Bombyx mori: one gene and its partners. The protein of the gene in region 1 interacts with the protein of each later gene in a biochemical or structural test. Links are inferred from orthologs where the notes say so. Each region holds a gene or a part of one and is shown in the gene's direction. Other genes may lie near its edges.

Region 1 (3,660 bases):
GTTTGAAGAGTGGGGCAGGCGTTGTAACTATACTGAGACCTTAGAACTTGTATCTCAAGGTGGGTGGCGCATTTACGTTGTAGATGTCTATGGGCTCCAGTAACCACCTAACACCAGGTGGGCTGTGAGCTCGTCCACACATCTAAGCAATAAAAATAAAATAAAAAAAAGAAGCATAAGAGGTAATGTTTGGGCATATATAGAAAATAAGTTACCGGTATTATTACCGGTATCATGACTATTACTCTATGATTTTCAAGAATTAAAGAACTATAAGAAGTACTGAACCTTTCTACTGTATATTAATTACATCAGGATAAAAATGTTATATTCGTTTTATATTTAATTCTATTTTATAGGTATGCTCTCAGCGGCCGCGTCCCTTGGTATGATTCACTTGTGGGATGTAGACGGTGGTCTAACGCCTATCGACAAATACCTGTATACCGCCGACGAGCACATCAAGGCTGGTGCCCTACTGGCTTTAGGTCTCGTGAACTGCGGTGTCAGGAACGAGTGTGATCCAGCCTTAGCTCTGCTCTCCGATTATGTTCTGCATTCCAGTTCCAATCTCAGGATCGGAAGTGTTTTGGGTATGCTGACGATTATTTTTTTGTAGGATATTACATTTGTATAATTTAAGTAAAATAAATTCTGTCAATGCATATCCAATATTTACTGTGGCGATAACCATCAGAGAACACAAGATATTTGACAGATGCCTCAATCTCGCTTGCGACATTTTCAAGATAAGCTTGCGTATTACATTACAATTCTTACTTTGGTTCGCATATATATTCATTTATGAACTTAAGAATTTGGACAACTTGTATGCCTAAGAGTCAAAGTAATGCAAACTGTCTATTAAATTGTTTATATTTATTACCGTAATATTGTAAACAGGTCTAGGTATTGCATATGCGGGAACACAACGAGAAGATGTGCTGTCCCACTTGCTTCCCGTGCTCAACGACACGACCGCCCCGGCCGAGATCTGCGCACTCGCCGCCATCTCCTGCGGGCTCATCGCCGTTGGATCGTGCAATGGCGATGTATGTATCATGGACGTATTACATAAATAACAATGTTGCTAATCTAAATTAAAACATGATTACTGGTGGTAGAACCTCTTGTGAGTCCGCACGGGTAGGTACCACCACCCCGCCTATTTCTACCGTGAAGCAGTAATGCGTTTCGGTTTGAAGGGTGCGGCAGTCGTTGTAACTATACTGAGACCTTAGAACTTATATCTCAAGATGGATGGTGCGTTTACGTTGTAGATGTCTATGGGCTTCAGTAACCACTTAACACCAGGTCGGCTGTGACTTCGTCCACCCATCTAGGCAAAAAAAATATAAAATCTTTATTTAAATACGCTAAAATATAGCTATTAATATAATAAATAAATAAACCTAGTTTATTACAAAAATAATGAAAGTCTGGACTGGAAGTCTTATAATATAAATTTTAATAATCTTTCAAAAGTGGAAAAGACAAAAATATAATATTCTGTGTTGTTGACAGGTGTCTTGTGCAATCATTCAGCGATTGATTGACGATAACAAGGATTTGCACTCGTCTACTTACGCCAGGTTCCTGCATTTGGGACTCGGGCTGTGTTTCTTAGGTGAGTTGCGTTACTGCTTTCAAAATCGTAACATGCTATACATTTATGACATCAGAGAATTGTATCGACTTCAGAATAGCAGCATGTATATGCAAAGCCCAAAAAGTTTTAAAAACAATTATTCATAGTATAATTGTAGATGTTATATTAAATAGAATTACTAAAATTCACCCAAAGTAGTGTTATCCAAAGTGAACATATAAATGTTGTAAAGTAACAAACTAAATAAAAAATACAACTATAATATAACTTACTCACCGGGTGAGCTGAGAGTGAGGTTTTTTTTCCTACTTAAGCTTGAGAGGCTATATCAGCGTAGTAGGTGAGCTCACGGGGCCCAAACCTGTCGAAGCTGCTAACACTGGCCCTAGCAAGAGTCGTGCTTCGTAGAATCTACCACCGGATCGGAAACGCGACTCACTGAGAAGATTCGACGAGAAACTCAGTGGGCTGTGTCTATGGGTTAGTTTACTCGCCGAGCCCTTCGCCGCTAGTGACGGGTTCGACGGGAACGACGACCGGTGCTTGAGGTACCTAAAATCCGAAATGACGTGTTTTGGGCGACGTCGACTGTTTACCATTCGGTCCGAAAGTAAGGAATACTACTTCACTTACTATGAAGTTAGCCTTTGGTTCGGCCTCAGTGCGAGCACGAACTCAACAGTGATGTTTGTTCGCAGGCTGCAAGGAGCGCACGGAGGCGACGATGGCCGCGTTGGAAGTACTTCCGGAGCCGCAGCAGTCGCTCTGCCAGACCACGCTGTCCATGTGCGCGTACGCCGGCACCGGGGACGTGCTCGTGGTGCAACAGATGCTGCACATCTGCTCCAAGCACTACGAAACCGATGTTAGTAATGTTACACGCGCTGGGGTTCGGGATAAATAAATGCTCCACCAAAGTACAACTTGAACGGTAGGCAGCGGCTTGGCTCTGCCCGTGGCATTGCTGACGTCTATGAGCGACGGTAACCACTCACCATCAGGTGGGCCGTACGCCCGTCTGCCTATACGGCAATTAAAAAAAACTGTGTAGCACTTAGAACACTTAAAACACTGAAAGAATGAAAGAGAAAGATAGAAATCATTTATTCGCTAAGCACTTCACTAACACTTTAAAATTCTCAATTCACTTCTTTACTCATTGACTGCGTATCATTTCTGCAACGCTTTTATAGTCGATAGGACATCCCTAGAAACGTCGAGAACATTCCTCACAAGCCGAGTACCTTCGATGTGTGTTTCCGTTATCTGACAATAGATGGCGTTGTACTTCTCGAGCGTTCTAGGTGTTACTGATCCTTCTATATTCGTTCGGCTATTCGGCGATAGATGGCGTTACTCTTAGCGGCGTAACAGTAATAATAACCGAGGACATGCTACACACGGTCACAGTAATATGAGAACCAGAGACTGATATATACATATATGTATAGGTACATAATAACGGTAGACAGTGGCTTGCTTCTGCCGCTGGCATTTCTGAAGTCTATGGGCGACGGTAACCACTAACCATCAGTTGGGCCGTATGCATAGAAGGGCAATAAAGAAGAAAAAAACTATACAAACAGCAAACAAACTTGTTCATCTCACAAATGTGGGAATAGAACCCACCCACCATAATAATCAGGATTACTACTATACCACAGAGTCAGTTAAAATTATTCTTATTTTCTCAATAATGAACTGCAATTGATTCTATAGGCTACAAGCAGATGCAATGCAAGTTTTTACATCAATTTACAGTTAAAATCTTTGATGCAATTCGATTATTGCATTGCAAATTTAACTGGCGTTTGGAACTTCGCTGCAGACTTGTCTACCAATTTATTTGTATAATTATATCATTAATCATTGTATTTCTGTTCTTTATTCAATTACTCCGATTATATCTAATTATTTTATTTTTTGTAAGAATGAAGCGAGCTTACTATTGACTATTCAAATCGAAGCCGTAAAAAATGCAGCTTTTACGTAAGATTGTACCATTTTAACACGCGAGGCTGCAGAACTATCTTGGAACATTTATCACTTCT
Region 2 (3,030 bases), on another chromosome or scaffold:
AATCTACCACTGGATGGGGGTAGTCTCAACAAATGGCCATATTATTTAAACATCACTCAGCTCCATTTGTATTTAAATGCGCGCGCTTTTTTTTTTCGTATCTATGCTGATAGCCTTGAGAGGCTATATCAGCTTCGCCCTAACATGTAGGTGAGCTCACGGGGCTCAAACCGGAGTGTTGCTAGCACTGGCCCTAGCAAGAGCCGTGCTTCGCAGAATCTACCACCGAATCGGAAACGCGACCCACTGAGAAGATCTGGCGAGAAACTCAGTGGGCTAGTCTACAAACAGCAATAGCTATAAGTTTTGGTGGCAACCGGAGTGTCTGGTGTGAAGACAGCTGCTCACAAATAGATCAGATTCATTTAAATGCTCAGAATGTCCAAATTGTCCAAAAATTTCCAATAAGCCAATGCCTAGCCATTAGTGTAGCTTCCACTTCTTTTTTTATTGCTTTGATGGTTGGACGAGCTTACAGCCCACCTGGTGTTAAGTTGTTACTGGAGCCCATAGACATCTACAACGTAAATGCGCCACCCACCTTGAGATATAAGTTCTAAGGTTTCAAGTATAGTTACAACGGCTGCCAAACCCTTCAAACCGAAACGCATTAGTGCTTCACGGCAGAAATAGGCAGGGCGGTGGTACCTACCCGTGCGGACTCACAAGAGGTCCTACCACCAGTAATTACGCAAATTATAATTTTGCAAGTTTGATTTGTATTACACGATGTTATTCCTTCACCGTGGTGGTCAATCGTGAACATTTGTTAAGTACGTATTTCATTAGAAAAATTGGTACCCGCCTGCGGGATTCGAACACCGGTACATCGCTCGATACGAATGCACCGGACGTCTTATCTTTTAGGCCACGACGACCATAAAAGAGTCAACTTACGTTTACTGTCCATTGCCTAATTAATATCTTTGTTCTGTTATAGGTCAAACCTCTAGGCGTGATCTGGGGAAAATACCCCCAGTACAGTTCGAAAAACACAATAATGTTTGACGACATACGAAGGAACTTCATTATGAACCCAAAGAGTGGCCTCAAAATTAGGCCGTTCAGGCAAGCGCACCTCAACCGGGACAAGGACCGGGAGTTGCTCTACCTATCGACTTACCTCAAGGATATCGCACAGAATTGCGAGGATTTCGACCAGCTGAACCACAAGAAGTGGGAGAAATACAAGCCCGACAGGAAACTCCAGGCGGGCAGTAAAAGGAAAGCGGAAGATTCGCCCTCCAAGCCGAGGGAATGACGGTAGTTTGACGTTTTTTTTTAGTGTGGTTTTTACGTTCTAAGGTTGGGAGGTGATTTAGCCTGTATTTTTTTTTATTGGCGAACGTCCAAGTGGCAAATTGGCCAGTGGTTCGTTTAGTGTTTTATGAATATCATATGTACCGGGTGTAACGGAATCGTTCTCTACAAACGTCACCTTAAATTCGTGATACATGGCGAGCAAATGATATTAGTTTTTTTTTTTTAGTGCCAAGTATCATCCTCGAGCTGTCTTCGTTATGGGGAGAAGATTCTTTAGATCCGGTATTTTAAACTTTGCCTTTTATACCTCGATCGATACGACTTCATGAATAATAGCAATAGTTGAAACGGTAGCTTAGCGTTTCCTCAGAAGGGGCGGGGGATCCTGTCGTGTAGAGTACTTAGCCTTATCCTGCCGCGAACCAGTGATGCGTTCGGGTTTGAAGGACGCAACAGCTTTATTCAATGCAACTGAATTTTCGGCTTCATATCTTGAGCTGGATGGCGGAATTCAGGTTGTGATTTGTATAAGCTTCGGTGACCTCTAAGCCGTGAGCCATCTAACCAGCTACAGAAATAACAAGAAAGATTTTCCATTATCACAAAATACCTGTGATGAAATGACCTTCTCGCAATTTAAGCACAAAACAAAGTAATGATTGTTGTAAGTGTTAATTTTTCTACAAATTAACGGATCTCAAACAGCCTTGAAGGATTTGACGAGGAGCCCTTCTCACCAAACATCACGTTTCTAAACTATATATCATGTCTAATATAATCTATACTACCACTAATTCTATTCTAACTTACTATATATGTGTAATATAATCTATGCTAGTAAAAAATAATTGTAACTTCAACATTTTCTCATGCATTTTACTCAGATCATGCAACTTGACATGACAAACTAAAAAAAAAACCTGTCAAATATGTGTGTCAGTGTCACAAGTGTAGACATTTCTTAAACGAGAGAGACAAACTATATTCTGACATTTTCTTTTTCAATTCCAATGAAAGAACTGCCGTTTCTAATTTAGTATAATGCTATTCGAATGATATTAGACTTAAATAAGCATTTAATGCAATTGTATAATTTATAAACGAATAAAGATACTTTTTTTTTGTAATGCGTCATTTTATTTTTATTCCGCCTGCGAAACTGTACCAATCGCCATTGAAACCGCGGTAGGCAGCGGCTTGGCTCTGCCCCTGATATTGCTGAAGTCCATGGGCGACGGTAACCACTCACAGGTATGCTCGTCTCCCTACAAGGGCAATAAAAAAAAAACTGTTTTTTAGTGAATGGCATTCCAAGTTTATGCTTACACTGTGTGGGCTAACTTCGACAGATATAATAAATGTCGGTAATACTTACCTAATTATATTTTATGAAAGTTATGTTCCGCCTGTCACGAGGTGACTTCCCACGATATCCTTCGTCCAAAAACTTATAAGTACATTATAATTTGTCGTTTTGAACCTCACGCGCAAGGAAGCGTTTACATCTTACAGAAGTGGCGGGGAACAATCGCTCAATACCCACTAGCGTCAGGGCTAGAAAATAAGTGAATCGCAAAGTTTTACACGATTTTGTTGCTTTGTGTGCTTAGTGCGAGTTTTTTAACGTTCTCGATAGCGTAAAAGTTAACGTTGGAACAGCGCCCCTAGCGGCAAACGTAGGCCAACTCCATACAAAATTGAGTTAACTTTTACGCTATCGAGAACGTTAAAAAACTCGCACTAAGCTCACTAGAATGTCAATCTTAT
Region 3 (4,157 bases), on another chromosome or scaffold:
AAGTCTTTTTTATGTTGCTTATTTGAGAAAATAGGCTCTCACAAGCTGTATTAGACATAGCCAAAGTCATCGTGGCCTTTGCAAAATCAACCAAGTGCGGATACTTCTTAGTTCTATCAGCCTGAAATTTTAATGTGACCCAAAACATTTCTGTGTTCAAACTCATAGGTGTGGGATTAGAACTCCCTCCAGATTCTAATAGTTTGGCCACTGTTTTGTCTAATTTAACCTCCTGATATTCGGAGTCAATTGCTTGTATGTTAGATTCTTTAACCAAATTAGGAAATTTAGAAACAGTTCTGGTCAACTTTATATACACCGTTTTGTGGATCAAAAAATTGCAAATTACGAGTATTACACAACTGAGAGACAATGGTCGACGACTATTTAGGAAATATGTAAACAGTGTTCATTGAACACTACACAGAACTTCAAAGCTAAACATTTAACGGGGATTCCCCTAAAATGTGCTTGAGTGCTGGCAGTGTTGGAAGAAAAACCTGACATTGTTTTAACAAAGGTAAAATTCCTCAAATATTTTTAGCGCAACTACCCGAATGAATAAATGTGAAACACAGTTAGATGTCAAATCCTGCTACAATTCTGTGAAGTTTTTATGAGATTCAGGCGAAAAATTCCTTATTTTCAAATCTGCAACACAATCTGCTAAACCTTAAATTGGGGGTCTAATTCTGCTAAAACCGCAGAATTCTGCTAAAACCGCAGAATTCTGCTAAATCTGGTCACACTGGGTATGTAACTACCTATGTACCAGTGTATAATCTATGCTATGTACAAAATACTACAAAATATTTTTGTCTTGTTTATAGTTTTAAAGTTCACAGGCAAAGATAATTATTATCTATGAAAGAGAACATGCAAAGAGTTAATTGGAAAATATGTGTTATTATTCTAAAAATGGAACGTAACAAGCAAAATGAAATCAAAATAAAGGTCTATGAAATCAAATTGATGATGGTATTAAATAAATCTGATCTTAATAAAGTTTTTTTAAGATTAAAAAAGATTTTGATGAAATTTCACTTTTCAGGAGACTTTTTGAGAGAATCTGAAAAATACGATCCGACAATTTTGTTTCATTTATCCAAACAGTACTTTACTTTCACAAATGCTAATTAATAAGTAAGCCACTATTATTTATACACATCAATACTTTAAACCTAAAGTAATACTGAAGAGCACAGAGCAGTAATAAAGCTTTTTTTGCATCATGGACGTTTATACTCGCGAAATAAGAATGAAGGAATCGATTAAAATTTTCATCGATGTTAATCAAAGATGATTCGATAAATGTCAGTCAGCTGTCAAACAAAGTGAGTTCTGAAATTACAAAACACAAAATTACCAAAATGTCTAATTCAGTGGCATTATATATTTGCCTGTTAGATTGCTGAATGAAAATATTTGGTCTTTGTGATTGCTATGTATGTGCGATTCATCACCAATAAACAAAATATATTTACTGACTGACCTGCAAACTAAGGTTGGTAAATTGTGTTTGTCATGAATTTGAATCTTCTCAGTTTCAGCTGATCGTTGTTTACACGGCGTATATTTGTTTCAGAATTTATGAAAATTTCTTAACATCATGTATTCATTCGAGGGAGACTTTAGGCGAAAACCCCAACAAAATTTAGCAGGTGCAAGCGCGGCACGAAAGACCGATAGAGACTCTTTGATTCAACAAACACAGTTACAAAGACAAAAACGAGAGGTAAATAACCTGTACTAATAGTTCACCACACCACCCTGTACAAAGTAGATTCGGTGATATAATTATCATTCAACTATATTTTTAGGAACACCGAAAACGTTTAAACAGTGTTATAAAAATTCAAGCATATTTTAGAAGCTACTTAACCAGAAAAAAATGTAAACAAGTAGAAAGGGACCAATTTGATGATATGTTTCCTAGAATTAATGTAGAAGATCAAACAACAATCTCAGCACTGTTAGCAAAAATATTTTTCTTCTATGATGACAAAGCTGATGTTTCTAGATTGGTAAGTTTGAAGTTCTAAATTTTTATTAAAAAAAATTATAAAATTGACAAAATATACTAGCAGTCTGTTCTTTCAGAATCTTAACTAGTATCAGAATATTAACTAGTATTGTAGATGTTACTGTACATTCTTAAATTTGTTTCATATAGGTATCAATATCACAATTGTTGTTAAAACAATGGAAAAAGGTCTTCCACAACAGTGGCTCTAGTATACAGATAAGAAGATTACTAGCATTACATTTGCGACTATTGAAGTATAACACAGAGGTGAGCAACAATTCTAGCCCAACATATAATTATAATGTGATATAATTAAATTTTACGATTAAAAAAAACATTGAAAATGTTAATTTTATACTGATATTTCTGAACTCTAAAATACAATATACAATGCTGAATTTCAGTAAAAACAATTATAATCAGAGGCTATTAGGGTTTCACAATATTGAAACAGTCTACTAATTGAACGGAAAAACCATTTTAGATTTAACACATTTTCAAATGCTAGCCTGTTAATCAGCGTTTTTATTACCAATGTTAAGCAATAGCCTTTTGACTATTGATGGCTTTCTCTTTTGTAGTCACTATGTGTACCTTTTCATATCCTTATGAATTTTAATATAGAGACTGTGGCTAAACCTGCCTTTGCTGAGCAAAAGCCTCAACCACAACTGGTCTTCAATAATGTGTTAAAATAATTTTGTAAAAATTCTATAGATGCTATAGATCAGCCTTTCCCATCCGCTGAAATAGCCTCTCACTGCTGAAATAGCCTCTCAGCTTAGGTAGGAAAAAAAAACCTTTCCCAAAGTGAGTGATAATGCCCCCTTGTGGGCGCTGCAGGCCTAAAGGGGGACAGTAAGGGACCCAGAAAAAAAAATTGGGGGCACTGTGTAGAAGCTTGGGAGGCGATTTGTAACTTCATCTAGGAGGACTCTTAGACACCTACTGAGCTCTCGCTATAGTGGTTTTTGAGTAGGTGAAAAAATGGGGGCACTAAAAAATAATTTATTCTCAAAGTGGGCAGTACACAAAATAAGTTTGGGAACCCTTAGTATAGATGGTATTTAAAAAATCAATGTTCCAGGTGCCTTTAGCAGTTCCACTCAGAATGTTTGAAGTATTCACATCCACTAGTACAGTAGAAGCAGCAATGAACTGTGATGAGGCACTGAGATTTGTTGCCAATACATTCTTGTATTTAATTAAAAGAGGTATGTTTATACACATCATGCTATTGTTGGCATAACAACTCAAATTAACATTCAACAGTTTCAACAAGTTTTATAAGAAAGAGATATTAATAATTCATTAACATAGTTTTCTGACACTAAATTACCTAAATTTTCTTTCTTAAAATAATCAGCTTTCATTTGTTGTTAAAACTCAATAAATATTGTGATGAAGATGATAGCAATAAAGACTTCAGTAAAAGTTAAAAAAAAAACATGATCTTTGATCTTGTACTTTTTTATAATTTTTCAGGCTATTTCATGGATCTGTGTAAATTAATATGTGAAAAGACCCCACCAATGTATGGTCCATCACCAAACCCACCCACCCCATTAAGCGGAGCACTTTTAGAGTTAATTCAGCGCCCTCTGTCACTGATCCTGCGAGTGAACATTCCTCAGTATGAGTAAGTTGCTTATTATTTATTTTATAATATTAATTTTAACTGAAATAATGATAAGTAGCATTTTGGCTGTTTCCCTGGTACTCCTCATGACTATGACTAATCAGGTGAGCCATATGCTTGTGTATCTTCCAGGGCAACATAAATATATATCATATCATAAATCATAAATATATATTATCTCTATATCTTATACAGCTTTGCAAATTTTATTCGTAGTAAGTTCTTTTCAAGGTAATTATACAGAAGATATTTTTTATATACCTACACAGTATTTTACATAAGAGCCAAAGAAGATAAGCAATGAAATAATATTCCCCTTTGACCTTCTGTTTTGTTATGTTTTACAAGATGCAAAAACAATGATGATTACAGGAAAAAGTTGTATGTTTACTTTATTGGAAGGTATTGTATTTGTAAAAACTTTGCCATAGAACAGTTTTGGTTTTAGCACTCTATATTAAAATCCGAGGGTTCAATATTGACAAGTATTTA

What was found.
Region 2: the proteins of 26S proteasome non-ATPase regulatory subunit 2 (region 1) and ubiquitin-like domain-containing CTD phosphatase 1 form a complex in vitro, tested with the Homo sapiens proteins (3 studies listed by BioGRID). The link is inferred for Bombyx mori from reciprocal best matches to the Homo sapiens genes PSMD2 and UBLCP1.
Region 3: the proteins of 26S proteasome non-ATPase regulatory subunit 2 (region 1) and ubiquitin-protein ligase E3C form a complex in vitro, tested with the Homo sapiens proteins (2 studies listed by BioGRID). The link is inferred for Bombyx mori from reciprocal best matches to the Homo sapiens genes PSMD2 and UBE3C.

What each region holds. Positions count from the first base shown.
Region 1 is NC_085114.1:10,684,222-10,687,881, reverse strand, and holds part of 26S proteasome non-ATPase regulatory subunit 2, read left to right. Parts: intron 1-359; coding exon 360-593; intron 594-903; coding exon 904-1,052; intron 1,053-1,524; coding exon 1,525-1,627; intron 1,628-2,307; coding exon 2,308-2,474; intron 2,475-3,660. UniProt on the Homo sapiens protein: Component of the 26S proteasome, a multiprotein complex involved in the ATP-dependent degradation of ubiquitinated proteins.
Region 2 is NC_085132.1:10,308,304-10,311,333, reverse strand, and holds the end of ubiquitin-like domain-containing CTD phosphatase 1, read left to right. Parts: intron 1-940; coding exon 941-1,261; 3' UTR 1,262-2,390; downstream 2,391-3,030. UniProt on the Homo sapiens protein: Dephosphorylates 26S nuclear proteasomes, thereby decreasing their proteolytic activity. Recruited to the 19S regulatory particle of the 26S proteasome through its interaction with 19S component PSMD2/RPN1.
Region 3 is NC_085111.1:13,504,938-13,509,094, reverse strand, and holds the start of ubiquitin-protein ligase E3C, read left to right. Parts: upstream 1-1,305; 5' UTR 1,306-1,504; intron 1,505-1,585; 5' UTR 1,586-1,609; coding exon 1,610-1,735; intron 1,736-1,820; coding exon 1,821-2,024; intron 2,025-2,173; coding exon 2,174-2,293; intron 2,294-3,113; coding exon 3,114-3,240; intron 3,241-3,511; coding exon 3,512-3,665; intron 3,666-4,157. UniProt on the Homo sapiens protein: E3 ubiquitin-protein ligase that specifically catalyzes 'Lys-29'- and 'Lys-48'-linked polyubiquitin chains.